Coturnix japonica: one gene and its partners. The protein of the gene in region 1 binds, or shares a complex with, the protein of each later gene. Links are inferred from orthologs where the notes say so. Each region holds a gene or a part of one and is shown on either strand. Other genes may lie near its edges.

Region 1 (4,118 bases):
CTTCCCTGTGTCATTCAGTTGCTTCGAGGTGTTTTCATGGCGTTCCTGATTGAAGCAGAAGGATTTGCAGCAAAATCCGTGCTGGGAAATGAGGAACTGGGACAAGGAAAACAACTGCAGGGGGGCAGCAGGGACAGAGAACTTCCTCAGCCATCGAATGCAGACAGCTGAGAGCTGGTGGTGGGTGGGAAGATCAGATGTCACAGAATTCTTTCACAACTGGAAGAAATAAGTCAGGACGTGAATGAGCTCATGTCTCCCTCAGCAGCTGCTCTCAAAGCAAAGCCCTGCTGCTGCTCTGAACATTGAGATGTGCCTTCAGCTGTGATACTGAGGCACCAAACCCTAGTATAGCTTTGCTCTGATCCATCCCATACAGTTCCCTTCGCAAATCAGGAGGGAATCCTTTCCCAGAGCCAACTCACTTCAAGTCACCCCTAGAAAACCACAGCATAAGTTTAAAGCACTGCCCGTAGATGGGGATCTCACACATTACCTGAGAGCTCTGATCACTGCACCAGCCTGTAGGTGATGTAACGGCCTGCGGTCTCACTCGGTCTTATGATCTTCACCACCTGGAAGGGCAGCAAAAGGAGCAATGGGGGATGGCTGGTGTTACAGCAGCTGGTTCAGCAGGAAGCCAAGCCTGGCCCCAGGGCTATCTGCTGCCTTGCACACATCTCTACATAACCCATAACGTTCAGAAACAAAAACACTAACAAAGAGGAAACCTTTCCCATCTCCAAGCTCTGACACACTGTGCTGCAGCTCCCCATCCTGCCTGCAGGGCCCTGCTGTTTGTTATCAGGCTATTTGCTCTTACCTGGCCTCGCTTTATCCCGAAGTATCGGGCCACAGGATCCCCAGCCTGGATCCTGGGGAGTTGGTTCTCCCTCAGCTTACTGCATGGAGTCAAGGAGGAGCTCTGTGTCTGCTTGTCCTGAGGCAGGGCACAGCTAACAGAACATCACACACTCAAAGGAATCCATTTCTTGCCCAAGACAAGCACTCATCACACCCTGACTGCAAGGGAAGGACCAAACAAAGGATACTATCTGGCCAGCAGCTCGGTTACTTCTTCTTTTGTCATGACAACGTGCTCTGGGACCAGCTGTAAACAGGAGAGAGAAAGAGAGATCATAAGAGTCTGAGAAAGCAACCAGCTCTGCATAGCTGCAAGACTTGGGGGGAGGAACAAAGCTCTGGTGGGGAAACCCAGCACAGGGCAGGGCTGGGAGGGCCGGCCTGAATCACTCACCTCGTGTTCTGTGATGTTGATCAGGAGCTCCTGCTGTAAGAACTGCTCCAGGATGTATTTGGGAGCCATATCGACCAAGGACTGGGAAGGGAGAAGCACATCAGGTTGTAGCACTGATATGAGACAGTGTGAGCTCAGAGATGCCCCAAGATGAACAGCAGCAGGAGGGCAACACGGTGTCTGTGCTCACATTGATATGGTCATATGGGCAGAGAGGAAACAGATCTCTGTGCCCAACCAGCACCAGCTCAGTGCACTCAATGTATAAGCCCAGTATTAAGGCACAGAGCCTGAACTCTGCCTTTATGGACCCAGCACAGCTCAAAGAGCCCCGGGGCCACATCACACTGTACCTGCTTTGCCGATGGGGTCATTCCCTGCTGCACCACGATCAGAGCCCGCGTGATGTTCTCCTCCTGCATGCGCTGGCAATACATCTTGATGGTTTTAATGCCGACTTTGGGTTCCTCTGAGGGAGGAAAAGAGCAGGGTGAGATTGAACCAGGAGCACCACCAGACCCCAACCTGACCCCAGCCCAGTTCTAACCTGGTCCCAGCCCAGTACTAACCCGGTCCCAGCTCGGTTCTAAGCCAGTCCCAGCCCAGTCCCAACCCAGTTCTAACCCGGTTCCAGCCCGGTCCTAACCCGGTCCCAGCCCGGTTCTAAGCTGGTCCCAACCTGGTCCAAACCTGGTCCCAGCCCGGTTCTAACCCAGTCCCAACCCGGTTCTAACCCGGTCCCAGCCCGGTCCTAACCTGGTTCTAACCCAGTTCTAACCCGGTCCCAGCCCGGTTCTAACCCGGTCCCTACCTGGTCCTAACGCGGTCCCAGCCCAGTTCTAACCCAGTCCTAACCCGGTCCCAACCTCGTTCTGACCCGGTCCCAGCCCGGTTCTAACCCAATTCTAACCTGATCCTAACCCGGTTCCAACCTGGTTCTAAGCCGGTCCCAGCCCAGTCCCAACCCAGTTCTAACCTGGTTCCAGCCCGGTTCTAAGCTGGTCCCAACCTGGTCCAAACCCGGTCCCAGCCCGGTTCTAACCCAGACCCAGCCCAGTCCCAACCCGGTCCTAACCTGGTCCTAACCCAGTTCTAACCCAGTCCCAACCCGGTCCCAGCCCGTTTCTGACCCGGTTCCGACCCGGCCCCGTTTCTCACCGGGGAAGAACACGAACATCTGGTCCGTGGGATCATCGTTATGTGCCACCAACACGGTCAGGTCCGTTCGGCGCGGGCGGCCTTCGCTGGGTTTATCCCCGAACTGAGCTTTAAACTCCTCCAACGTCTGATCCAACTCGTCCTGAGTCACCAGGTAACCGCGGTCATGGCACAGCTAAAGGGAAATACAACATATGAGACCTGAAACCGGACCGAATCGAACCGAACCGAACCGGGCCGGCCCGCACCTGCATGATGGTCTTGCGGATCTTCCACAGCCGGTACGTCTCCTCCTCGTCGTCCATGTTGCCTCCTGAAGGACCCCACGAGGCTGCCCGCCTCAATGCCTGTCCACAACGAGCAGGCGGGGCTGCCCTGCGAGGGGTCCTTGACCGCGGGGAACGCTGGGAGATGTAGGCGGGGTGGAATGGCGGAAGGACACCACCCCCTTGTTGACACTGCAGCAGCCTCGCTGATTTGATTGGTGGTTTCGCCTGTCTATCACCCAAGGGAGCGGCTCGCATTGCGCAACTGCAAGAAGTGGGCGGTGCCTTCGCGCGTCCTAATCGCTGATTGGTCAAAGGGGGGGAGAGCGGTGGCGGGATGGGGTGGGGGTGGCGTTGCGGGCGGGCGCTGCTGTGCGGGGCGGCGGCGGCGAGAGGAGCGGGGCGGACAATGGTGAGTGGGGGGGGACAGAACAGAACCGAACCGAACCGAACCGGGTCGGTACTGGGGGGGTTGGGGGGGTTCGGAGCCGCTTTGTGACCGCTGGGCCCCGCAGTGCGCGCAGGCGGATGAATGGCGATCGGCCACCTCCATCTATGACTTCCACGCCACGGATATCGACGGCCGAGACGTGGCCTTGGAGCAATACAGGTCTATTAGATATATATATTATATAGACATTATATAGACATTATAGAGACATTATATGTACCATACAGCAACACAGCAATGGGCTGTATTATATACCCCCCCCCCCATTTTACCCCCGCAGAGGTTCCTTTTACCCCCTATTTTACCCCATTTTACCCCATTTTTACCCCCTATTTCACCCCTTTTACCCCCTATTTTACCCCATATTACCCCATATTTTACCCCATATTACCCCTTTTACCCCCACAGAGGTTCCTTTTACCCCCTATTTCACCCCCTTTACCCCCTATTTTCCCCATATTACCCCCACAGAGATTCCTTTTACCCCATTTACCCCCACAGAGGTTCCTTTTACCCCCTATTCTACCCCATTTACCCCCACAGAGGTTTCTTTTACCCCCTATTTTACCCCATTTACCCCCACAGAGGTTCCTTTTACCCCCTATTTTACCCCATTTACCCCCACAGAGGTTCCTTTTACCCCCTATTTTACCCCTCCAGGGGTTTCGTCTGCATCATCACCAACGTGGCTTCCAAATGAGGAAAGACTGCAGTGAATTACACTCAGCTTGTCGACCTGCACGCACGATACGCTGAGAAAGGGCTGCGCATATTGGCCTTCCCATGTAACCAGTTTGGGAAGCAGGTGGGCACCTCAATGCAAAGATATGGGGTTGTGTGGGGTTTACACGTGTGATACCTGTTTTTCCCCCCCCCCAGGAGCCTGGGGATGATGCACAGATCAAAGCCTTTGCGGAGGGTTACGGGGTGAAGTTCGATATGTTCAGTAAAATTGAGGTCAATGGGGACGGCGCCCACCCGCTGT
Region 2 (3,353 bases), on another chromosome or scaffold:
GGCAATCACAGGGAAAGATGAGAAGGAAAAAAAACCCACCCCATAAACATCCCTGAAGCCTTCCTGTGCAGCTGTCAGCAGGCAGGCAGGGAGGGTTCTGAGCTGCATAAATGAAAGTGATTCAAGGAAGAAAGAAAAAGGAACGTGCTGAAACCCAGACCTTCCCTTTACGCCACAAAATACAGACAGATGCAAACCATCCCATAGCAGCGAGTGGATGACCACATGCTCTGTCTGCACAGACAGGTTCCCAGGAGGGCACATAAACATGCAATCAATCTGAACGAGCCTCCAGCCTTCAGGCTGAGTCCAGCTTCCAGGCAAGCAGCTTTCCTACGGCGCCGGGTCCAGGAGAAGGAAGGCTGTGATGATTTGCATCTGGCTCAGGGCCTGCTGTGGGAGAGGCCTGCAGAGCATGGCACCAGCAGCCATCGTTGCCTTGGGAATGTTTTCCAGGTGCCCAAAGCTTTGTGATGCCTCCTGCCACAGCTCAGCTGCAGCTCTCATGCAACCCTCTGTGTGGCCACGGTAAACCCACAGCCTTTATTTTGCTGTGAGCTGCTGAGTAGCACTGCCTGCTTCAGGGGTGGACATCAGGCTTCTCTCTGCTACTGCTATCACGTAGAATGTGATGGCTCGAGGTGGAAGGGACCTCAAGGATCATCGAGCTCCAAGTCCCCGCTAGGACGGGGTTGGATGCAGACGGGCAGTGCTCATTTCCACCACTTCACTGGGCACCTTCTTCTTTCAGCACACTCTGCCACAGACCGAGATCTCTCCCGTTAACTGTCACAAACGACTTTACGAGATTAAGGCCGGTAATCTTCCGATCTGCTTAATCTTCCTCTGGGGATTATTTGCGCACCAAGAGCTTCGCTCCTGGCAGCCACAGAACCACAGAACACCCCAGGATGGAAGCAATGACTGAACCCAACCCTCAGCTCCACCAGGGGAGCCCTGAAATCTCACCCCGTGTTTCAGAGCCGCCCCACAGCACTGCCCGGCCGATTCACATACAGAACCACAGAATGAGCCGGGTTGGAAGGGACCTCAAGGATCATGTAGTTCCAACCCCCCTGCCTGGCAGGGCCACCAAACATACACCTTTACTACATCAGGTTGCCCATGGCCCCGTCCAACCTGGCCTTGAACACCTCCAAGGACGGGGCATCCACAACCTCCCTGGGCAGCCTGTTCCAGGCCCTAACCACTCTCCTAGTGAAGAACTTCCCCCTAACATCCAACCTAAATCTTCCCTCTTTTAACTCAAAACCATTTCCCCGTGTCCTGCTATTGTCAGCAATTGACACTGCAATTCCCGCAGTGTCCACACGGGGGCGCTCTACGCGGAACTCCGGATCGCGGCCGCTGCTGCCGCCCGGCGGGGAGCGGGGATGGGACGGGGCGGAGCGGCCCGACATGGCGCGGGACCCAGCGTTTGTGCTGCGCTACCTGGCCGAGGTGGAGGAGCTGGCCGAGGACGTGCTGGCCGCACGGCAGCAGGTGAGACCCGACCCGGTTCGGCCCGACAACCCCCGACCCCCCCCTTTATCCCCATCCCCTCCCGTCTCTTTGCAGATCGTCGATCTGGACGTGAAGCGGAACCGGAACCGCGAGGCGCTGCGGGCGCTGCTTAAAGACCCGGAGCCGGACGGTGAGTCCCGGAGCTCGGCCGGGATCGGGGCGGTGTGTGCGGGGCACAGCGCTGAGCACGGCTGGTCCTCACTGCAGGGAAAGCCATGGTGTGCTTCGGGAGCACCTTCATCGAGCTGCACAAGGCCAAGGCCAAGGAGATGCTGCAGAGCGGTACGGAGGGATCTGCTCACCCCGAGGAGCTCGGAGCTAAAACAGAGCAATGCTGCCATCCTGCCCTGCTCACACAGCCCGGCAGGGTCTCTGTTGGTCCCTTGTTCAACCCCAGTCCCCATGTCATGGGTTAACCCCCCTTATTCTTGCCCTGCTATTTTCAGATCAGGAACAGCTGGATGAGGAGATAAACAACCTCCGGAAAGAGCTGCGTGTGAAGGTCAACCGTCTCTTTGAAGCTCAAGGTAAAACACTCCTGGTCTTGAACCCCAACAGCAAAGGTCTGGCTGCAGATGCTGGGGAGAAGTCAATGTGTGAGTGCTGCCGGGGCTGCTCCTCCTCTCACTCTGTCATTCCCTCCCTACCCTGGTAAAGCTGTCAGCCAGCAGCGTGCTGGATACACACAGCAACGACCAGGGTGGATAGTAGGAACAATTGGTTCTCCATCACCATCCCTGCAGGCATCCCAGCACCGCAGGGATGTGGCACTGAGGGATGTGGGCAGGGTTGGGTTTCATGATCTCAGGGCTCTTTTCCAACCTTCACGATGCTGAGAGCCATCATTGCTGCGTGGTTTCACATGGAATGCTTCATGTGTCTTATAGCAAAACCCCAACGTTCTGCACATCCCTACAGGTAAACCTGAGCTGAAGGGATTTAACCTGAACCCCATGAGTGCAGAGGAAATGAAACTGATCAATCGCATCCTGGAAGGTTGAGACAGCCCTGCCACCACCACAACCGTGTGCAAGCACTGCTCAGCCTGCGGTGGTCGGGTATCACTCACAGCATTTGCACTGCATCAGACACAGCCTGTAGGATTTCCAGCTCTCCTGCATTGCTGGAGCCTCTCCTAAAGAACCTGGTGGGCACAGGGAAGGATACAGCTCCTCAGCTGTAATTCTGGCTGTAAACTCTCCCCACTCCTTGCTGCCGGTGGCAGAGCAGTGCTGAGGCAACTGCTGGAACAGTGGCTTATTCACAGCCTCTGACAAACACCCGCCTGCAAGGGGGATTATTAAAACCAGCACTGTGGGGCATTCCTAACTCTGTGTGTGTGTGTTTGTTGTTGGGTTTGTTATGTGAGAGCTTCTGTAGTTTGGCTGCAGAGCGAGTTCACTGCAGTGTCAGGAACAGAAGTAGGAGGAATTGTAAATGTACAGCGTGCCCAGAGTATAGAAGAGCTGTGTGTGCCTGTGGTATTAAAATGAAATGAAACCCGTGCATCTGAAACACGTCAGGAATCTCCTGAGAGATGCGTAGGGAGGAACAGAAGGCAGCAGCGTGTTTGTCTCAATGGGAAAACACAGGCTGCTGTCAAGGTGGGAGCCAAGAGAATACAGAAAAATAAGGCTCTCAAAACAGGATGAAAGAATAAAATGGACACATATTAGCAAAAACTGCAGCTTGAACAGGCTGGATTTGGCCTGTAGCAATGGGATAACTGATTTAAGTCATAATAGTTTTGGCAGAGGTCATAAAATCAGCTCTGGCTCTCCAGGTAGCTCATCTGCTCTCCACTTCAGGCTTAAGTTAGAGATGCACAG
Region 3 (4,279 bases), on another chromosome or scaffold:
AGAAGTAGCACATACAGGCTACACTGTAAGCAATTAAATGTGACACCTGTCACACCTTTACAAGGTAATTACCTTTGTCACCTACAAAACCTTATACCACATAAGGTATGTGCATCCCTTCCTGGGAAGGACAGATTTGATTAGATGCTGATGTCTTACTATGACACACCAGGTCCAAAATCTGCCCTGCTGAAGTTACCAGCTGGCTGCAGTACTTCCACACATTCTTGCTCATCTTCTGCAACTCTGAGGTACATATGGTTATCACTACTACAGAATAGAGCTGATTTTCAGAGTGCTGCAAAATTGTACCGTTTCCTTGGGATTCAACCTAAAATGGGAGTCAGGGTCATTTTAAGTTCCTATTATTCTTAACACTGTGATCAAACACAAGCACTTTTCAGCAGAAGTTGTGCTGTGCTAGGACAGAGATGCAGCACTGATAAGCCTCAGCAAGTTGTTATAACAAAGATATTTGTAAGTGCTAAGATGATTATTCAATAAAAAGATGTATTTACCTATTAGGTAATAACTTGGTAGAAAAAGAGACGTGAAACATCTAACTTACTGTAGAGACAAAGAACCCTTCCTGTCAGTTAAAGAAAGCCAGCAGGTCATGGGCAGAACAGCTAGCAGATTTGGATCACACACATTAAGTATCCTACCAGCAGCTGACCTGCATGCAATGGCACACTGCTGTCCCACATTTTGTTTCAGAACAGCTGATAAAATAGCAAAGCCATGCTACTTCCTTGCTTCTCATGTCTCCAGGTTACAGGTAAGATTTTGGATTTAGAAAGGAAACTCTGTATCATTTCCTTCTGTAAACTTCTCTGTAATACTCAGAACATTCTAATTAATTCAAATAATAGCAGAAATTCCAAAATCTTCCAAAATATCAGTGTGCCGCATCACCTTCAGTTACCAGAAGCACACAACAATCGTTCACACAATCTGTGCCCAGGACCAATAAACAGAACTTCAATATTAATGCTGCTTTCAGTATAAGATCTGTACCAGACACTGGCCAACTGCCATGAAACAAATCCTGCATCTCTCCTTGCCATGCTGGATAAGAACATCTAAATCCTCCTTTCCCCATCCAGCAGCAAAACAGCAAAACTCCATGGAAGACCATAAGGGTACAGAGAGCTGCATGCTGTGGACAAAAAAATACACACGCTAATAAATAAAAAAAGAAATGAAAAAAAAAAATTAAATTAAAAAAAAAAAAAGGGGGGGGGGGGTTGGGATGGGGGGGGAAGGTAAGCGTTTTCAGAAGGCTGGGAGGATGGCGGTGCCCTCTTCGTGCAAGGCACAGCCACCCAGCACCGAGAGCCGTGGGCAGTGCCGCTGCTCCCCGAGTGCGGAGCGAGGCAGGAGCACAAACCCGGCTCCGAGCGACAAAAAGCACGGCCGGCAGCCTCCGCCGCGATGCACGCACCTCCCAGCCCGCTCTCGGCGGCTCTCTCCCTATTTAAAGGCTGATGTGGTGTTTAAATGGAGAGGCGGTGACGTGGGGCTGGAAAGCACCTTCCCATCCTAGCAGAGTCTATATTAGAGAGCGGCAATGGCTCTATATAAACAGGGCGGCCGCAGGGAGGAGGAACACAAGGAGCGGGCAGGCAGAAAGGCAGGGGAAGCCATGATGGATCCGAGCGCCACAAGCAGGGCCGCGCCTGCCGCCGGACGCCGGGTTTGTGCCGCCGGCGCTCGGGGCGGGGGTCGGGGCCGGGGTTGCGCCGGGGACGGAGCGGAGACCGAGGGGCGATCGGATCGGCCGTGCGTGTGACTGCTTATTGCGAACCGGAGCGAGCCGTCCCGCAGCGAGCCGCCCGCCAAGGTGCAGAAAGCACGAGAAGGGACACAGGGGGGCGAGAGTTTTCTTTGTAAAATAAATACTGCCTCGCTCGCTGCAGAAAAGTTCCGGGCCGGGCCTGGCGGACCGCTGCCGCGGGGCTGGGACAAGTGCTTTTCAACCATCGTCTCTTTCCGATCGAGCAACATAAAATGGCTCCAGCGGAGCCCGGGCTGCCGCCGCCACCGCGGCCACCGCCACCCCGACACCCGGCTCGCTCCCGGTCGGGCGCGGGGCCGGCGGCGCTCGCTCCTTCCCGGGGCGGCTCCCCCCCCCCCCTCCCGACCCGCCCGCCCGCCCCTTCCCGCCGGACCCCGGCCCGCGGCGGGCGGCCCCGGCCTTTTCCCCGCGGGGCTCCGTCCGCCGCCCGCCCCCGGGCCGCCGCCCCGCGCCCCCCGTTCCGCTCCCGCCGCCCCACTCCCGCCGCCCCCGGCTGCGCTCTCCCCGCCCCGGCGTCGGGCGCCACAAGTTGTCTGCTGCTGCCGCCGCCGCGCGGGGAGCGGCCCGGACCCCGCCGCCCCTTCCCGCCGCGGGCCGGGGGGGAGGGGGCCGGGGCGGCCCGAGGGACGGGGGTGCGGGGGAGGGGGCGGCGAGCCCCGCCGGCCCCCTCCGCCCGCGCCGCCCGCGGGGTCCCCCTCGCCCCCCGGCCCGGTCCTTACCACGGGGTTTGTGTTAGTCGAGCTCGCCATGTCCCGAGCCCCCCGGGACGCCCCCAACCGCGGGGGGGGGAGTCGCCCCTAAAACAATAAACCTGCCCGGCTGCGTCCCCCCTAAGCCCGCACGTCCCGCCCGGGCTCACGGGCAGCCCCGCGGCCTGGCCCGGCCTCGTTCGCCGGCCCTGGGGCTGCAGCCGCCGCCGCCAGCCGCCCGCTCTGCCCGCTTCGCCCCTTTATATAGCGAGAGCCGAGCAGCTGCGCGAGCGGCCAGACCGAGCGGGGGACGCGCGCGGGGGGGCGGCCAGATACCGCGAGAGCAGCGAACGAGAGCGCGCCGCGCGGGGCGCCGTCACGTGAAGAGCCCGCCCCGCCGCCATGACACTTAGTGAGGCGGAAGTACACAGGGAGGTCGCTCTCCCGCTTGCCGCTCCGCCCGGCGTACCGAGGCGGAAGTCTTCGCGCTGTCCCGCCGGGCGCTGCGCCTCAGTCCGTCCCATCGTGCGACGCCCGCAATCACGGCGCTGCTGGGGGCGGCCCGCCTCTGCTCTGCGGCCCGGCCGGCTGCGATGAGCCCAGCGGGATGCTGCACACCGCGAGGCGGCAGCTCATAACGGCCCGGAGCGAGCCGGAGGCCAGCGAGGGACATGGGAACGCACATCGCGTCCGCTCGGTCTATAGGAGCGGTTTGCTCCTCGGTGTCAGCCCCTCACTGTGCAGTTCCAGGTACGCAAGAGCCCTGCCTGGCCCAGCAGGCGCTGGTACCTCTGGTCACAGGCCTTGAGCTGGCCCTGCTACAAGAGCCAGGTCCCGGAGTGTTCAAGCTCTTGTTACCTGGTCTGGTGACAGGAATCGTGGGCCCTCACTCTCAGAATTGCCTCTTCAGCAGTTCCTCACAAAATCTGTGGCACTGAGAATTCCTGGCTGTACCGTTTGGCTTGGCTTCCATTTTTGCCCTTTTAATTGCCTTTTCGTCCTTTTCCATTCCCTTTGCTTATCCCCTTTCTCCATGGCAATCTGCAAGATGCATGTAATACAGGAAAGCATTCTCAACTACGAGGATCCTTCCATCAGTTAACTTCCCTGCTGCCACCTTCACCAAGCCCTTAGGATAACTTCTGAATACAGCTTAGAGCTCCAGCAGTAACCCACCTGTATAAGACCTGCTCGAACATAAATTAAAAGCAACACTGAATTCCAGCTCTATGCTCAAGGTATTATGTTACATCAATCTCCACAGAAAACAAAAACAAACAACAATAAAAAACCCAACATGCCCTACAGACCATATTTGACACGTTACCTTCATTCAGAAGTCCCACCTACTAGCTAGACCAAGCAACATGTTTACAAACTCCTGTCTGGTAGCCTAAGACCAGAATTAATTTGTTAGTGGATACAGGAGACCTTCACATTCCATACTTCTAAATGCTTTAGTTCTGTGGTAGCGAGCACCTCCTTTCCCTTCTGACAGGCAGAGCTTTTATAGGCACGTGATTGATTTACAGTGGACCAGCTGATGAACCAGCTCCACTGTTCATGGCACATACTGCTGGAGCTCCAACAAAAATTACATGGGACAGAGTTTTACCATCCTCTGCTGTTAATTATACATTTCCTTCTTGGAATTTTCCACTGCCACAGCACAACCAACAGGAGTGATGAGAGTTGGTATCCGTAGCTCGTGAGCTAACCTTAGGTGTATTGAATGAGCAGCAGGAATTGAGGTGCTAGTGTTACTTCACCCTGACATCTCCAATAAAAAGGC
Region 4 (3,943 bases), on another chromosome or scaffold:
ACTGAAGTCCACTTGGTATTTAACATGCAGTTGCCAGCTTTCCCACTGTACTACAACTTGGAAATCTTCAACAGCTACAGAGACAGCTTTTAAACAGTTGAACTATTACCTTTGGTGCAGCAAACTTACTTTTGCATTGAGACAGTGTTTCTGTTCGGTCTACAAGGAAGAATATGTTGCTATTGGGTTGCTGCCTATAAACTTTCTGTAAAATAAATACAACACCACATTAAGTAAAAGTAGCATACACAGGCAACCACACTGCAGCAGAAACTCACTGAAGTCCACTGAGATACCCTTCCCTTTTATGTCTGAAAGATACCTTCTCTGCCATGAGCAATGTCCTCATGTCGCACCAAAACATTTCAGGAACAACCCACAACCATTCTGCATTTTCCTCCTTTCCTCATACTTAAAGGGTCATATTTTGTTTTACATCATATGCACATGAAAAATAAAGAAGCTTTTAACATAAACTGATCCACTCAAACATCATAATATAAAAATTGTGCTAAAGTAAAACCTTGAGACAGCTTCCTGTTACAATGCACAAGTGTAAGTAAACCCTCAAGCGATGTAGACAACATTTTGACACCATACAGAAGATCATATACACATTAAAATCTTTAGTGTAACAACTAAAGATAATGTACTCACTGCAATTTTGTTTGCCCTCTTGCCTCTATACAAATTTATCTGATGCTAAAATGAAGTAAGCAGAAAAAACTTTAATGCTTACCCTGTTCTTCTTCAAATTCGAAAGCTCATCAACTACAACCTTCTGTTCCTTAATCTGAAAGAGAAAAAACACATCTCAATATAATTGTCAACAATAAACTACTGTGTTGCAGTCCTGGAGATTAAAATCTTTACCCATGTTTTTAAGACAGCTATAAAAATATAAGTCACTGTGCCCTGAACAGACCACTAAAATGAAAGTGGACACAGGAATGAAAAAGAAATTTCATTACCCATTATTCCAAGCATACAACAAGTCTTCGGACCACATAACTGAATTACATTTAACACACTTCTTATTGAAATCTAAGTTATGAATTCAACAATAAGACAATGAAGCACTCTAAATAACTGCTTTGGAAGGGAATTATCTTGCATGGTTGACACTGTTCCCATCCCCCCAAAGCAGTCATTACTGGGAAGCCAGAGTACTCCTCGCTGCTCAGAATCCAAAATCACTTCACCCTCAACCTCCCCCAAAAAAACAAACGTATAAACAACTATTAACATTTGTCAGCCTGGAGAAGAGGAGGCTCAGGGGAGACCTTATAGCTCTCTATAACTTCCTGAAGGGAGGTTGTAGTGAGCTGGGGGTTGGCCTCTTCTCTCATGTAAGAGATGACAGAACTAGAGGGAATGGTTTTAAGCTGTGCCAGGGGAGATTCAGGCTGAACATTAGGAAGTATTACTTCTCAGAAAGGGTAGTCAGGCATTGGAATGCACTGCCCAGGGAGGTGGTGGAGTCACCGACCATGGGAGTGTTCAAGAAACGTCTGGATGTTGTGTTGATGAATATGATTTAGCTGGGAAGTATTGGTAACGGTTGGACTAGATGATCTTCTAGGTCTTTTCCAACCTTGATAATTCTGTGATTACGCAACTTAGAGAAAAGATTTACCTACACAATACACTTTATAATCTTATTCTCCAGATTCAAAATGAAAACAGTAAATGAAACAATTAAAAACCTACATAACCAATAACCCCCCCCCCCCCCCCCAAATAAATAAATATGTATAAAACAACCCCAAAACTGTATTAAGATAATTAGAAACACTTCCAGTACACTGGACTTTTAGCACAAAGTTGTCATGCTGCATCTACCGCCATCAGTTCAGCTGCACTGACACAAACAGTCCAATGCTCCTGCTTCCCTGGACAACGTCAGCCACTAAAGACAAAGAGCCATTAAAGACAAAGAGCAATCAGGGCCCATCAAAAAAGCTGAAACACAAAGCTAAAGTGGTTCAACACACACTACTTTCTGTAAGCACAGAACACACCTTACTCCGGTCCTCCTTTCTGCCTCCTGGAATTGGCGCAGATGGAAATAACTACAGGGCTGTATAAGGCAAACTGAACTGAGAAAATGCTGTTTCACCAACAGCTACAACAGCATACTATGATAGTTATTGAAACAGACAAGAACACAGTGCAGTCTTGTGATGCAAAGCAGAACCAGGCATTTCAGCCACGCAGCTAATACGCTGTGTTGTGCTGATGCAGTTGCTCTCTTTAGTCTCTTATGTAACCAATCAACTAGAGAACAACACTAATCTATTGCGATATTAGTGTAGAAGAATAAAGTCACTTTTTATGCGAGGACAACTGACCAGGACTGTACAGAACTCACACTGAACAAAGACAAGACTGCCACTACGAAAAGCCCAGCTTTAAAGCTGGCCTCCTCACTAAACTCCCTCACGACTTGCTCAACAAACCCAGAGAACCACATTCTCCTTCGACTAATCACACACAGCCCATCTCACAACACTAAAAACGGGAAGGGAACTCGCCAGAAGGGCTCACAACACTCGAGCTCCCCCACACCTTCACCTGGGCCACAGCGCAGCTCAGCCTCCAGCACACCCTCCTCCTTCCCACACACAACTATGAGACGCAGGGCAGCACCTCAGACCCTCCATAACTCACCCTCCGGCTCAGCTCCTCCTTACGGCCCAGCTCGGCGCTCTCCTCCTCCTCCCGCCGCGACATCCCCAGCTCGCAGTGCCGGCCGCTGCCGTCGCACAGCAATATACGCACAACGGCTGCGCCTCACGCTGTGGGCTCCAAACAACTGCAGCGACTGCGCATGCGTACAGCAGAGCGGCTGTTAGGCGCGTATGGCTGAGGTGGAGTTATGGCCGTAGTGGCTGTGGAGCAATGAGACCATTTTCCTTCAGTACCGGCTGCCTTGTTGTCGGATCTTTGATAGTATTTTGATTCATGGAGACATTTCCCGTTAGTCCCCTGCTTGAGCTCTACTCATCTGTTGTGCTGTGTCCAGGTGTGGAGCCCTCAGTACAAAAAAGACATGGAGATTTTGGAAAGGGTCCAGAGGAGGGACAGGAAGATGATCAGGGGGCTGGAGCACCTCCCCTATGAGGACAGGCTGAGGGAGTTGGGTTTGTTCAGCCTGGAGAAGAGAAGGTTGCGGGGTGACCTCATTGCAGCCTTTCAGTACCTGAAGGGAACTTACTGCCAGGAGGGGAGTAAACTCTTCGAAAGGGCTGATAATAGCAGGACACGGGGAAATGGTTTTAAGTTAAAAGAGGGAAGATTTAGGTTGGATGTTAGGGGGAAGTTCTTCACTAGGAGAGTGGTTAGGCCCTGGAACAGGTTGCCCAGGGAGGTTGTGGATGCCCCGTCCTTGGAGGTGTTCAAGGCCAGGTTGGACGGGGCCCTGGGCAACCTGATCTAGTAAAGGTGTATGTTTGGTGGCCCTGCCAGGCAGGGGGGTTGGAACTACATGATCCTTGAGGTCCCTTCCAACCCGGGTCATTCTATGATTCTGTTGGAACCTTCATTATCTGTCTTGCTACATTAACCAAAGATGATAAGTGAATGCTTCATCCTTCTGTGCCATCTTCCAAGTAGTAGTAGTGCTTTAGCTTAGGATGCAAGTAGCAGTGTGTCTTCTTGGTGTGGAAACAGAATCAATGAGATGAGACGGCTCAACCTGGCTGTTCCAAAATACACTTAAACAGTAGGACTAAAAGAGTACGACACATCGTGTGAGACAGTGCTGACATTATGAGTAGAACAGAAATGCTGCACGTCCAGCCTGTGTAGCCCTCAGTGAAGGAAGGAGACTGCTGTAAATCCACTGTGTGGAAAGGCATGGAGAGCGTCTGGACGGGCTGATACACGGCAAGGTCCAACTTGCTATTTCTTCATGTGCAAGTGAAATTGGTAAGTGTACAGT
Region 5 (4,163 bases), on another chromosome or scaffold:
TCTTTCAGAGTAGATACAAGGAGAAATTTCTTCTCACTCACTGCCCAGGGAGAGGTACAGACACTATCCCTGGAGGCTGTTCCTTGACAGGCTGAGGGAGTTGGGTTTGTTCAGCCTAGAGAAGAGAAGGTTGCGGGGTGACCTCATTGCAGCCTTTCAATACCTGAAGGGAACTTACTCCCAGGAGGGGAGTAAACTCTTCGAAAGGGCTGATAATAGCAGGACACGGGGAAACGGTTTTAAGTTAAAAGAGGGAAGATTTAGATTGGATGTTAGGGGGAAGTTCTTTACTAGGAGAGTGGTTCGGCCCTGGAACAGGCTGCCCAGGGAGGTTGTGGATGCCCCGTCCTTGGAGGTGTTCAAGACCAGGTTGGACGGGGCCCTGGGCAACCTGATCGCCTAGTAAACGCGTTGGTGATCAGATTTGGTGGCCGCTTCAGCTCAGGCGAGGGGGGTTGGAACTACAATGAATCCTTAGAGGTCCCTCCAACCCGGCCGTCATTCTGTCGATTCTGAATTGACGCATACCCAGAACGCCGTGCGCCAGATGTGGTAACTGCAGGGATGGTGGCAATCAGGCCATAGTGCCATGGGTCCGTGGTTGGATATTACGATGAAACACTCATGGCAATCTTTCCAACCTTAACTAATTCCATGAGTCATCTCCTCGCCCAGAATCTACCAACAGAGAAGAACGCACTGGATGGCAGCCAGGCTCTGAAACGCCCTCTGAGATTTCACAGCATTTCCACCCCAAGCACTGATGGACCACATAAGAGGTGCAGTAACACTACAGCAGAGCCCACAGCCATGGTGGTGGGAGATCTGTTACATGAGGGAGCTCTGAGGGTGTGGAGATGAGACACGACCCCCCGAACAACTGTTTTCCCCCCTCAGTTTATCAGTACTCTCGACGTGGGGAGGAGCTGTCCGTCGCTATATTATACTGTTATAAAAAAGGCGAAGTTAAAGGCTCAGATATTGCCGTGGGCACGTAAAACGTAAATAACTGCTGGTTAAAAATTAACCAGCAGTGGTTAAATTAACACACTGGTAAAGGCAGGACGACAGCAAAGCCCACCCAAAGGCTCGGCCCCTGCTCGGTCCCGGCCCATCTCCCCACACCCACCCTCCCCCGCACCTCGCCGCCGCACGCCGGACCGCTTTGAGTCGAGAGCGCAGCCGACGGAATGCGGCGACAGACGGCCCACACACTCTCAAATATGTATCGCCAGGCCCGCCGCTGCAGCTCGTCCGGTGAACAGGTCACGCCTAACCGCAGACACCATCACAACAGCCGCGCGAGGCGCGGCAGACGCAGGGCCAATTGACGAGACGCGCGGGAGCGGGGGAGCCCGAGGAGGCCGCGCGCCGGCGTAGGCCTTGGTAACGCGCGGGCCGCGTGATGCGCGGGTGGACGTGAGGGAGAAGGGAGACCCGTGGCGCCGATGAAGATCGAGGAGGTGAACCGAGCAACCTGCGACAGACGCATCCGCGGCAATCCGCAGCACAACAGCCTGTTAACTGGGCCCTCCGGGGGCTGCGACGAGACGGCGGCACTCCGCCAAACCGGCGGGCCGCCGCGCCTGGTGCGGACAGGAGAACGCGCGGGAGGTGAGAGATGGGCCCCTGCACCTGGCGCACTGCTCGCGGGCTGGCACGGCCGCCGATCATAGAGCGCCAGGCCCGGGCTGTGAGATTCGCCCGTTACTACTCGCTGGATTGTCGGATAAACGATCTACAGGGTTTTAAGGCTCCACTTCAAAGATTGGTGCCCGTGAGGTGGTGCAGGGCCCAGCCAAGTCCGCCTGCTCCGCTCGCGACAGGCCGGGTGGGGGTTTGTCACAGAATGACCCGGGTTGGAAGGGACTGGACTCAAGGATCATGTTTCAACCCCCTGCCGTGGAAGGGCCACGCAAAATCATATATCACCTTTACTAGATCAGGTTGCCCCGCAACAGGTCCGCCGTCAGCAACGCTGGGTCACTTGACAAGCACCTCCAAGGTATGGGGCAGTCCACAACCTCCCTGGGCAGCCTGGTTTCGCAGGGCCCTAACCTGAACTCTCCTAGTGAAGAACTTCCCCCTAACATCCAACCTAAATCTTCCCTCTTTTAACTTCAAACCATTTCCCCGTGTCCTGCTATTATCAGCCCTTTCCAAGAGTTTACTCCCCTCTTGCTCTGTTTTTAGGCTTTGATACCTGCGTGCAGCTCTGCAAGGGGAAAAAGATCCCCAGCTCTTTGGTTTGAGTTCTGTTTGATTTATTTCTTTAATGTGCCAGATACAGGGACTGCAGGAAGTGATTTCTTTCTTACCTCACTCCTATGTATAACATTGAACTGCAGTTTAATTTTGGCACCTCAGAAGATCAGTAGTTCTAAACACTTCTAGTATCACTGGAATTAAATGTATTTTAACAGTACTCTTGTTAATGGTGCCAACCCTTATCCTGCAGGCTTGTGGGGTTATAGTAGAGCTCATCAAAAGCAAGAAGATGGCTGGCAGAGCTGTCCTGTTGGCAGGACCTCCTGGAACTGGCAAGGTATCCTGATATTTTTATTTTCCTTTTCTTGCAAGAAATAAAACCTTCTGAAATCCGCTGTAATTTAACGTGCTGCCACAAGCATTTTAGAATAGCGGTTATATATTGTCTTCATCTGCTGTTGTGTTTTTTTTCCTCCATTAAGGTATTGACACAGTCTCCTGTTTTGTGTTTAATTTTTGCCACGTCATTAGCACTGGCAGCATCCTCTGGTTTGTGCAGCCATCATTAGTGCGAAAGCACCTAATATAGGTTGCCAAACACAGAGGCAGGACAGTTTCTGATTAGTCTTATAAGTTAATTCGATATTAAAAGCCTAAATAGTTATTCTTTTTAGTTGTTTTTCCCTTTCCATCTCATTTCTATAAGATGTTAAATTCAGAAGTCCACTATCATTCCTTTACAGTGTTTATAAGTCATTGGTAGAAGTCACCTTATGCGTGTCTAATTTGTTTTGGTGGGAGATGTTTGTTATATGTGAGAGATGTCAGAGCAGTTATAATATAGTATATATATGTATATATATATATAATACTATAGTATAGTAGTAGTAGTTGATAGAGTGAAGGTGATACGATGAGGAAAGTTAACTTAGTGCAGAAAGAATCCTCATAAAAATGAAATGCTTAATTTCTTTTTCCATTTTTAAAGACTGCCTTGGCTTTAGCTATTGCTCAGGAACTTGGCAGTAAAGTTCCCTTTTGTCCTATGGTTGGAAGTGAGGTCTATTCTACTGAAATCAAGAAAACAGAAGTTCTGATGGAAAACTTCAGACGAGCAATTGGTAAGTTTCAGAAAAACAGAAACGTTTTTATGTGATACTTACATTGTTTTTTCTAGTGATCTGAAAAGGAAAAATCTTGGTGGTCACGGTGGTTTCCAGAACATGATGTGAACTTTTCTTCAATGCTGATCTTAAACTGGGGAATCTCTCCCACACTTAGTAGAGTCAGTAAGGTTTTCTGGATATAAATGCTTGTGTCCCACAGATATTTTTACTTACTCTCCTCCCCCAGGATCTCTTCTTGTCCTCCAGGTTCCACCTCCTGATGCCACCTGTGACACTCCAGAAATCTGAAAGAAAATCTGTTTTTAGTTTCTTACATTAGCAGAAATGCTTATAGACAGCAAAATGCTTTCCCTTGTACTTTAGTGATTCCACCTTGCTGAGCAAGCAGCCTTCTCGAGGGGTTCCCAAGTGGCAGCATTAGCCTGGCTCAGTGTTCCAGTGAGCACAGAGGAAGTTCCATGCCAGCAAAATAAATAATATCTTCAATATCTTCCTCAATTCTAGAGTGCTTTTACAAAGTCAACGTAAATTGGGTAAATTTGCAACGCGACCTCACTAAGTAGTTAAAATCTCTTTTATGATCTCTGCTGACAGCTGATAAATGCGGTTAAAATGGCCCTTGTTTGTGTAAGGATTGCCTAAAGATGACCTAACTGAAAAACTGAACTTATTAACAGTTAATTTCCCTGATTTCTCTGCCGTGTTTCCTCTCTGACTTCATCTGAGTATCTGGGGGTGGTGAAGAGGTCTCTCAGTTCTGCAACCAAGTAAAAGTATTCCATTCATTTTCATAAGAAAAACCTTCAGTAGTCTCTGGTCTAGTTACCA
Region 6 (4,200 bases), on another chromosome or scaffold:
GCATTAATCTCCTTGTGACTTCATTCCCAGCCTGGTCTCCAGCTCCACTTGCTCGTGAAGGCAGAGCTGTTTAACGCTGTCAGTATAAGGTTATCAAGCATTGAAAGACCAAGATAAAAGTTAGCGGTGTCTGTAGTCGTAAAGACAAGGGCAAGAAAGGGAGATGTGAAGAGAAACAGCATTACATACTTCTTGCATTAGCCATCGTTTTTATTGTGCAATAATGAGTACCTTGCAGTCAATAGGTGTACATGACTTTCATCACTACAACCATGCAGCATTCCCTACATCTTCAATTACTTCATTCCAACAATGTACACACAGCTTCTTCTAAACAAATTTAGGACTTTAAGAAGTAAATTGGGCCAAGCGGGATAGTGAAAGTAGGATACTGATGTAATGAGAACAGAGATGTTGTGGGATGTAACACCACACTTTGTTAACAACAGTGAGACATCCATAGGAGGGACAAACTGTAAAGGATAGACAAAGAAGATATCATTGGTAAAGAACCAATTTAACCAATTTAATCATCCCCACATGGCACAGTTTTTATGGAAAAAATGAGAAACCAGAACCAAGCAACCAACAGGAGGACAGGCTGAGGGAGTTGGGTTTGTTCAGCCTAGAGAAGAGAAGGTTGCGGGGTGACCTCATTGCAGCCTTTCAATACCTGAAGGGAACTTACTCCCAGGAGGGGAGTAAACTCTTCGAAAGGGCTGACAATAGCAGGACATGGGGAAATGGTTTTAAGTTAAGAGGGAAGATTTAGGTTGGATGTTAGGGGGAAGTTCTTCACTAGGAGAGTGGTTAGGCCCTGGAACAGGCTGCCCAGGGAGGTTGTGGATGCCCCGTCCTTGGAGGTGTTCAAGGCCAGGTTGGACGGGGCCCTGGGCAACCTGATCTAGTAAAGGTGTATGTTTGGTGGCCCTGCCAGGCAGGGGGGTTGGAATTACATGATCCTTGAGGTCCCTTCCAACCCGGGTCATTATGTGATTCTGTGAACAGTGGAACCAACTTGCATTCTTACTTGGAAAACATCCCAAAGAACCCCAATGCGGTCAGCAGCTGAAAGAATGAGTGAAACAAGTTCTACCACAAAGCTGTATGCAACACTGTGTAGTCAATGCAGACAGATCCCTAAAATCCAGGTACCCTGTGAAAGCACGGGCACTATTATTACTCTACAGCACAGATTTGGATTCAGAGTCATGGGCAGATTGTGGTGATACAAGAGAGAATGGCTATAAATGAAAAGAGAGAGGATTTAGGCCAGATGTGAGGAGGCAATTCTTTATTCATTGGGCGGTGAAGCCCTGGCACTGCCCACGGGAGCTGTGGTGCCCCATCCCCGGCGAGTACACCCATCCCGCTGCCCTCAGCGCGCAGGCGCACTAGACGTTCCGCTCCCAACATGGCCGCCGCTCTGCGTCTCGTCTTACAGAGCGCATGCGCTTTCTCTCGGCCTTCTCCTCTCCGGCAGCCGAGGTGTAGCCGTGCCTTGCCGCTCCGGTCGCTCTCTGCGTGGCCATGGAGGGTCTCCGGGCGGGGAGCGCCCTGCAGCCGGCTCTGTATCTGCCCTTGCTGCCAAGGAACCTCTACCGAGCAGGTAAGGACGAGGCTGCGCTGTGGGAGCCCCTCACGGCCGGTCTGCCTGCCTCCCCCCCTCACTGAGGCGAGCTGGGGAATCCAGCTGCTCCATGTTTCCAGTCTCGTTCGCCCCTGTAGAAAATAGGCGTGCTCAGCTTCTAAACCACGTAGCTTGCCATCATCCTATGTAGTGGCTGAGAGAGCTCCTGTAAGAGAGATAACTGAAATAACGCTGAAATAGCAGGCAGTTTGTTATCTGGTTAACGCTCTGTTTGCTGAGTTTAGCTGACTTCTTCGTGTTTTGCTTTGTTTAGCGTCTTCCAAAGAGCACAGGTTAAGCTTCTGGAAGAGCAAGGAGCTGTGTTTGAATTACATCCAGGATGCGCTACTACAGAAGCAGTGGAAGAGAGCTGCGGAGTTCCTGACCTCCTACATAGAGTCACTGGAGAAAGACTTCTCCACAGTATTCATGGGGCCTGCAGAGGTGAGCTGCTGGCCCTTAGCACTGTTCTGCAGCTGAAAGAATACTTGCCTATAACACTTCAGGGCTATTATTTTCTTTAACTGTCCATAAGCTTAATTATGAAACAAATACAGATTTCATAAGCTTTGCTCATGTGCCATATTTGTTATGAGAAGTTGTGAAGCGCCCATGGAATGTCAGTTTAAAAAGAAGAAACAATGGGACACTGATATGTGTGTAACTGTAACAGTAGACAATGTTATACTCGTTTTTTATTTGCGGTGCAAAAGTACATTTTATTCACATGTTACAGTAGCTGTAGGCTTGATAAGATTGTATATATGGTGACTGCTCCCATTTTCATACTGAGATTTTTTGCATCTTTTTTTTCCCCAAATCAACAGATGATTTGGAGACTAGGATCAGAAATCCTGTTCAATTATTCCCACAGAAACATGAGAGAGTTCAACTCTTTCATTGAACAAATGAAAACTTTAGCAATAAAAAGGCATTTGAAGGTGAGTGTACTTAACGCTGTCTTAATGGTTTTCCCACACATTCACCTCAACATCTATTTGAGTGTTACTGTTTCTGAAAGCTCTCTTGAAATGTTACAATAGTGTCAAAAAAGATAGTGTAGCTGAGTTAATAGTTGCAAGATGTTTCAGGGGCTGTTCCATGGCTAGCCGCGTCTTATTTGGTCGATACATTTTTATCTGCTTGCAGTAACTCTTAGATTCTTTAATTGCTCTTAAAACTGTTAGATTCATTTTCATACATTCCCCATTAACATCTAATTACATGTTAAGACCTGTGAAGTCTTGTGTTCAGTCCTTAATTTGACCCCTGTGCTCCTGGTCAAACAGTTGTAGTTAAACTTCACTTGCTTTTCAAGTAGCTAATTTGTATATAAAATAGTAAAGCTTATTCTGTGAACACCTGTATCATTCAGAACCCCAGTTCTTTTCCTATGGTAACTTATTCAAGCTTATATTGTTTTGATTTCCTTGACTGTTTTTGATTCCAGATTTTTCTATCTTTTAATCTATTGTATTTGTTCAAGGTCTCCAACACTAGTTCCATACAAGAGTTTACTAACTAAAAGTTTGGACTCTCATCCAATGCCTAATCAATATGATCGTGTAGTAGGGCATTCCTTTTTCAGGTTTTTGGCAGTTGCATAGCAAATTGAAACTCGGTGTAACCCTAAATTCAGGTCACTTCTAGCTCTTCTAAAATAGATTCAGCGTTTACTAACGGTAAGCAAGGTTTTGAGCCATGTGCTTTCAGCTGCCTTGATAATAATTACAGCTGAACGTTTACTACCTTATTGATGGTTCTCACCCACACAGATTTCAAGAACCCTTTAATAATCTTTCTTCACCATCTTCAAACTGGAAAAAAATACTTAAGTTCTTACTGGAATAGGCTCCCCAAGGGAGGTGGTTGAATCTCCATCCCTGGATGTGTTTAAGAGCTGTTTGGATGTGGTGCTCAGGGATATGATTTAGCAGAGGGATTTTAGAGTTAGGGTACTGTGGTTAGGCTGCAGTTGGACTTAATGATCTTCAAGGTTTTTTCCAACCTGGGTATGATTCTATGATTCTTGGTGCACACTTCAGTCTCCTATTGACACTCGCCTTCTCCCACACTTGGTTTTTATTGTCAAAGCTCTCTATGAATACACTGTTTGAATAAAACAATACCTGTAAAACCTGCTTCGAATAGAAATATTTTGCATGTTTGCTTTTTTATTTATTTATTTTTTTATGTCAGTAATGAGTGTCTCTTCCCTTTCACTTCCATGCAGGTGTTTACTATATTATTGAGATTCTTTCTATTTATGATGTGAAACACTGTGGTATGGACTGCTTGAATTGCAGGTTTGTTTAGAGCATGCCTTTCATCTCCTATGTAATGGACTGATAGATGAAGCCTACCAAAACCTGTCCCTGGCAGAGAGTTGGAGGTTTGGAGAAAAAACAGCTGTTCAGGATAAAGAAATGAAGCTGATTCAGGCTTACAGGGGGCTGCTGGACTACTATATCTGGTCCAATCAGAAGAACATACTGTTAGAGCATGGTAAGTCCAAATACTGCTTTTGTATTGAGCTGTAAACTTCTTATTCTTGCAGGCATTGCTGTTTG
Region 7 (4,101 bases), on another chromosome or scaffold:
TTAATCCAGTTCTAAAAAGGGAGAAATTAGATTAAAGACAATAGGTCCCTCCCTCCCGTATGTACAGACGTCAAACTGTATTGCTTTCTCATCAGCAATCCCAGTTTTCCTGTCACACTTTGTTAAGCTTAGTAACTATCAGTACCCTCACAGTTTGGTCAAAGGCACCACAAACACACAGCCCCTTTTTGTCGGGGCTCCAGTCCAGGCTGGAAATGGGCTGTGTTGACAGAGTCACGTTCTGCAAGAGGCTGACAGAACCTGCCACCCCCATCTCAGCTCCTTCCGAGTCCTTCTTTGAGCGCTGAGCCGGGTACTCGCTGGCAGAAAGGAAAGGAAAACTGAGACAAACAGGAATCTCATCCTGCTCTTAAAAGACAGCACAGAAAGGTCTCCTCTGTTCTCAAGATAAGACAAATGTCTTCAAAATAGCGAGCCATCATATCCATCATATCTGAGCTTGGAAGTGAGTCCCCACGCACCATCTTTACAATGATTCTTTCTTTAAACAATAAACAGTTGTTTTGGTTCCTTATTCCCCTGTTATAGAGCAGACAGTGATCACTTACTATTTCCAGAGATGAAGGCTCCCAGCTCCTCCGCTCGTCATAAACACATCCCTGTTCTGCGGGAGGTGCCGAACCTGCCAGATGGTGGATTTGTGTGCCTAGGAAACAACCAGCATTGGACAAAAGTTCTGTACAAACTCCTGTACTACATGTTGCTAAAGGAATGATCCATCTCCCCATTACCTTCTCTGAAACAGAAGCAAAACCTTTAGTTGGGTGCTGAGTCCTCATATCGAAGACATGGAATTTTCCCTCCAGTGACGTGGCCACCAGCTTGTTCATGTTCACATCTTTCCTGTCAAACTCCACACTGCAAACCTGCAAAGAGTGAAACCAATACGTTCAGCCACTGCTACAAGCATATATTTGTGAGTGTGATTTGCAGACACGTATCTAATCATTGGTTATTCTTACAACAGCTTCACCAACTCGGCAATAACGCGATTGCCTGTAAACAGACACACACCACAGCTGGAATGAAGCCCTGCTTCCACAGCACCTTACCCCGTTCTTAATGTTGGTCTCCCATCGCAGTGACATGGCTTTTAAGTCAAACAACTTAATGTCCCCATTGTCGTATCCAGCACATACTACACGTTCCTCTTGATTGTAAGCATTGCCTGGACACAGAGACAGAATTGATCACAACACAGAAACCCCTCTTAGGCTGTAAATTTGAGACCTCTTAAGTCAGCAATTTCAACTTAGATTTATGCCAGCAAAGCATCATATAGTAGGATTTAATGAATTGAGAGCACAGAGTTTGGGATGGACATGGCCTGGGCTCAAGCATCCTGAATTCAAGAGCACAAGTTAAGCATCTCTGCTGTCTTTCGTTAGCTCTGGGGATTGTCTCTTACATTAATGTCTTAATGTCATCAGCAGATATTGGTTCTCCATGCACAATCACAGTTAGACCCCTCCAGGGCAAAGTGGTTTCTTTGCTTTTACATTCCTAGACATAGAAATGTTCAATTCCCACACTAGGGCTGTAAAAATGCCTAAGAATAAAGCTTGTCTGTGAAGTGATTGAGCAGAGATGGTAAGAAAACAATGCCTGAGCCAACTACCACCAAACGTGATGGAAAGACAGCCTTTAAAACACAGTGCAAAGACACAGATGTGATAACACCGAACAACAAACCCTGCCTTCAGTGGTTTGATTACTGTCAACACGCAGTGACATTACAGGGGGCTGTTATCAGACTGGTTACCAAAGGCCACCGTCCAGCAGTCCCTCTTGCTCTCTCCCTGCGCAGGTTCCATGTTGGCAACAGGAGTTTCCTTCTGCCGAGGGTCCCACACCTTCACAGTTCCTAAGGAAAGCAAAGCCATCAGTGTTACAGATGCACTGATGCACCACTCTTGGTTTCCCAGGGAAAGGCAGCCTGACGCCTCCAGACTATGTCAGTGTATAGGAAGAAATGAAACATAATACAAACAGAAAAGCACAGGGAAAGTATAAGATGTCTAGCTGCTATTTTGTATTTGTTCTGCTTTATGTTCCTCCTCTCCAGCTCCCAAAGGAAGCAGAGGAGGCTCATCCCAAAGGGCCGCCCTCCATTTCGGTGCCCACAGCCTGTAGTTCAGGGATGTCACTGAGCAGCTCAGCTCTCTCCCACTCACCATCCCGGCTGCCTGTCACAATTTCTGGGGCACCTTCCCCAATTCCGAGGCCTCCGACCCCATCGATGCAGTTAATGATTTCCTTGTGACCTTTCACGGAGTACACGGGGACTTCAGGAGCTTCTAAGTTCCTATGTGAGAAACAGATAACACAGCGTTGCCTTCAGTAGCCAGGAGCGCTGTAAGGAATCACACACCCACCAGATGCTGAGGCATCCCGCGAAGTCCCCTGTCGCCAGGTGCCGTTGCTGCAGGGAGGCTGCCCCGAAGGTGGCACATTTTATCGGTTTGGCCTTTTCGATCTGCAGATAAAGGACACGGTCGGCACCGTATGAAGCGTTAAACCCCTCGGCCTACGAGGTGCCGCCCCGCATCGCCCCGCTCACCTCGCTCAGCAGCAGCAGCCGCCCGGCTCGCAGCTCGTACAGCTGGATGAGGCCGGTGCCTCGCGGGGCGCTGCCGAGGCACAGCAGGCGGGCGCTGCGCGGCACCCACTTGCAGTCGAACACGGTGTAAGTCAGCGGCTGCTGCACGTGAACCACCACCTGCGGCCGGTCCAGCCCCGCCGCCGACATAACGAGCGACGGCAGCGACGCGGATAACGCAGGAAGCGGAAGGGACGGCGGGACGGGCAGGAAGTGGCGGTGGCTTTTCCGGCGGAGGGCCACGCTATGGAGTCTGAAGCGGATGAGAACGGGAGCGGCTTCACCAGCGTGGCTTCCAAGCGCGGCAGGAGGAAGCGGAGAGCGGCGGCTGCGGAGCCGATGGAGGCGGTGGATGCGGCGGGGCCGCAGCCCAGCAAGAGACCCGCCTTCCCACCGCTGCCCGCCGCGGCCATGGGGGTGAGCGCGGCGCCGAGGCGGAGGGATGGGGCGGACGGGCTGCACGTGTCCGCTCAGCGCCCATCTGTCCGCAGGTGGGGAAAGGGGAGGTGAGGAAGGTGCCGGTACCGGCCAACAGGTACACGCCGCTGAAGGAGAACTGGATGAAGATATTCACGCCCATCGTGGAGCACCTGCAGCTCCAGATCAGGTTTAACTTAAAGACCAGGAACGTGGAGATCAAGGTGAGCGCTGTGCTGTGTGTCCTCACGTTCCTCTCATCCCTCGTGTTTCATTGAAACCCGCCCAACCGGGCCTTGGGCACCTCCAAGGCACCCACAGCTCTCTGGGCAGCCTGTTGTCTTAAGCACAACATACACTACTGGTCTGCGCTTTCAGTAGAACACAATGCGGAGGTGGCATTACACGAACGTGGCTTTGGCTTTCTTTTATACAGCCAGCCTTTATCTCACTGACTTTCCAAGTCCTGATTCCGTTTGCCTGATAACATAGAAACGTATCTTCTCGTTCTGCAGACCTGTGCTGAGACCAAAGACCTCAGTGCTCTGACCAAAGCAGCTGACTTTGTCAAAGCCTTCATACTCGGCTTCCAGGTGGAGGTGAGTCTCCCAGCGGCCGGGTTGTGCTATTGCTCAATATCTTCAAGCACTCTGGACATGACATCAAGAAACAGAAAACTTCAGGGTGGTTTTCTTTAATGTTTGAAGTTAAAACTGATGTTTGATGCGTCAAATGGAGATACGTGACTGATTTGATCTGTTTGGGCCTGTAAAGAACTTGTGTGTGACAGTGCTGCAGTGCTCAGGCTGATGGTGACTCTGAATGTTGCAGGACGCTCTCGCTCTCATCAGATTAGATGATCTCTTCCTGGAATCATTTGAAGTTACGGATGGTGAGTAGTTTCTGCTGTGCTACTCAAGCAGCCATTCACTTCTGAGCACTTCTTTGCTCTTTCCTTCTTTTCCACGTGTGTCACTTTGGGGATCAGGAAAACCCCGATGCCAATACATGGCATAACTGTCTATGGGGAGAACCTGGAGCTGGACACAAGGAGAGCAGCATCT

Evidence for each region.
Region 2: POLR2E (region 1) and PDRG1 share a complex: the UniProt entries of both Homo sapiens proteins name them as parts of the PAQosome complex. The link is inferred for Coturnix japonica from reciprocal best matches to the Homo sapiens genes POLR2E and PDRG1.
Region 3: POLR2E (region 1) and GTF2A1 share a complex: the UniProt entries of both Homo sapiens proteins name them as parts of the TBP-based Pol II pre-initiation complex. The link is inferred for Coturnix japonica from reciprocal best matches to the Homo sapiens genes POLR2E and GTF2A1.
Region 4: POLR2E (region 1) and ASDURF share a complex: the UniProt entries of both Homo sapiens proteins name them as parts of the PAQosome complex. The link is inferred for Coturnix japonica from reciprocal best matches to the Homo sapiens genes POLR2E and ASDURF.
Region 5: POLR2E (region 1) and RUVBL1 share a complex: the UniProt entries of both Homo sapiens proteins name them as parts of the PAQosome complex. The link is inferred for Coturnix japonica from reciprocal best matches to the Homo sapiens genes POLR2E and RUVBL1.
Region 6: POLR2E (region 1) and TAF1A share a complex: the UniProt entries of both Homo sapiens proteins name them as parts of the pol I pre-initiation complex. The link is inferred for Coturnix japonica from reciprocal best matches to the Homo sapiens genes POLR2E and TAF1A.
Region 7: POLR2E (region 1) and WDR92 share a complex: the UniProt entries of both Homo sapiens proteins name them as parts of the PAQosome complex. The link is inferred for Coturnix japonica from reciprocal best matches to the Homo sapiens genes POLR2E and DNAAF10.

What each region holds. Positions count from the first base shown.
Region 1 is NC_029543.1:2,009,030-2,013,147, forward strand, and holds the start of POLR2E (DNA-directed RNA polymerases I, II, and III subunit RPABC1), read right to left. Parts: upstream 2,801-4,118; 5' UTR 2,722-2,800; coding exon 2,665-2,721; intron 2,592-2,664; coding exon 2,417-2,591; intron 1,728-2,416; coding exon 1,612-1,727; intron 1,340-1,611; coding exon 1,259-1,339; intron 1,112-1,258; coding exon 1,053-1,111; intron 903-1,052; coding exon 824-902; exon of another isoform or gene 576-823; coding exon 510-575; 3' UTR 497-509; intron 220-496; 3' UTR 1-219. UniProt on the Homo sapiens protein: DNA-dependent RNA polymerase catalyzes the transcription of DNA into RNA using the four ribonucleoside triphosphates as substrates.
Region 2 is NC_029535.1:8,958,169-8,961,521, forward strand, and holds PDRG1 (p53 and DNA damage-regulated protein 1), read left to right. Parts: upstream 1-1,345; 5' UTR 1,346-1,419; coding exon 1,420-1,503; intron 1,504-1,578; coding exon 1,579-1,654; intron 1,655-1,731; coding exon 1,732-1,806; intron 1,807-1,970; coding exon 1,971-2,051; intron 2,052-2,442; coding exon 2,443-2,525; 3' UTR 2,526-2,853; downstream 2,854-3,353. UniProt on the Homo sapiens protein: May play a role in chaperone-mediated protein folding.
Region 3 is NC_029520.1:37,077,882-37,082,160, forward strand, and holds the start of GTF2A1 (transcription initiation factor IIA subunit 1), read right to left. Parts: upstream 2,801-4,279; 5' UTR 2,548-2,800; coding exon 2,518-2,547; intron 1-2,517. UniProt on the Homo sapiens protein: TFIIA is a component of the transcription machinery of RNA polymerase II and plays an important role in transcriptional activation. TFIIA in a complex with TBP mediates transcriptional activity.
Region 4 is NC_029522.1:4,422,936-4,426,878, forward strand, and holds the start of ASDURF (ASNSD1 upstream open reading frame protein), read right to left. Parts: upstream 2,801-3,943; 5' UTR 2,734-2,800; coding exon 2,671-2,733; intron 794-2,670; coding exon 740-793; intron 206-739; coding exon 130-205; intron 1-129.
Region 5 is NC_029527.1:7,146,614-7,150,776, forward strand, and holds the start of RUVBL1 (ruvB-like 1), read left to right. Parts: upstream 1-1,363; 5' UTR 1,364-1,614; intron 1,615-2,458; 5' UTR 2,459-2,497; coding exon 2,498-2,545; intron 2,546-3,196; coding exon 3,197-3,329; intron 3,330-4,163. UniProt on the Homo sapiens protein: Possesses single-stranded DNA-stimulated ATPase and ATP-dependent DNA helicase (3' to 5') activity; hexamerization is thought to be critical for ATP hydrolysis and adjacent subunits in the ring-like structure contribute to the ATPase activity.
Region 6 is NC_029518.1:15,717,994-15,722,193, forward strand, and holds the start of TAF1A (TATA box-binding protein-associated factor RNA polymerase I subunit A), read left to right. Parts: upstream 1-1,400; 5' UTR 1,401-1,530; coding exon 1,531-1,609; intron 1,610-1,904; coding exon 1,905-2,074; intron 2,075-2,457; coding exon 2,458-2,571; intron 2,572-3,936; coding exon 3,937-4,135; intron 4,136-4,200. UniProt on the Homo sapiens protein: Component of the transcription factor SL1/TIF-IB complex, which is involved in the assembly of the PIC (pre-initiation complex) during RNA polymerase I-dependent transcription.
Region 7 is NC_029518.1:373,108-377,208, reverse strand, and holds the start of WDR92 (WD repeat-containing protein 92), read right to left. Parts: upstream 2,801-4,101; 5' UTR 2,771-2,800; coding exon 2,582-2,770; intron 2,498-2,581; coding exon 2,397-2,497; intron 2,327-2,396; coding exon 2,196-2,326; intron 1,886-2,195; coding exon 1,784-1,885; intron 1,190-1,783; coding exon 1,074-1,189; intron 888-1,073; coding exon 753-887; intron 668-752; coding exon 570-667; intron 321-569; coding exon 113-320; 3' UTR 1-112. Other genes in the region: RNA-binding protein PNO1, read left to right, coding at 2,867-3,037, 3,112-3,261, 3,553-3,636, 3,869-3,929. UniProt on the Homo sapiens protein: Key assembly factor specifically required for the stability of axonemal dynein heavy chains in cytoplasm.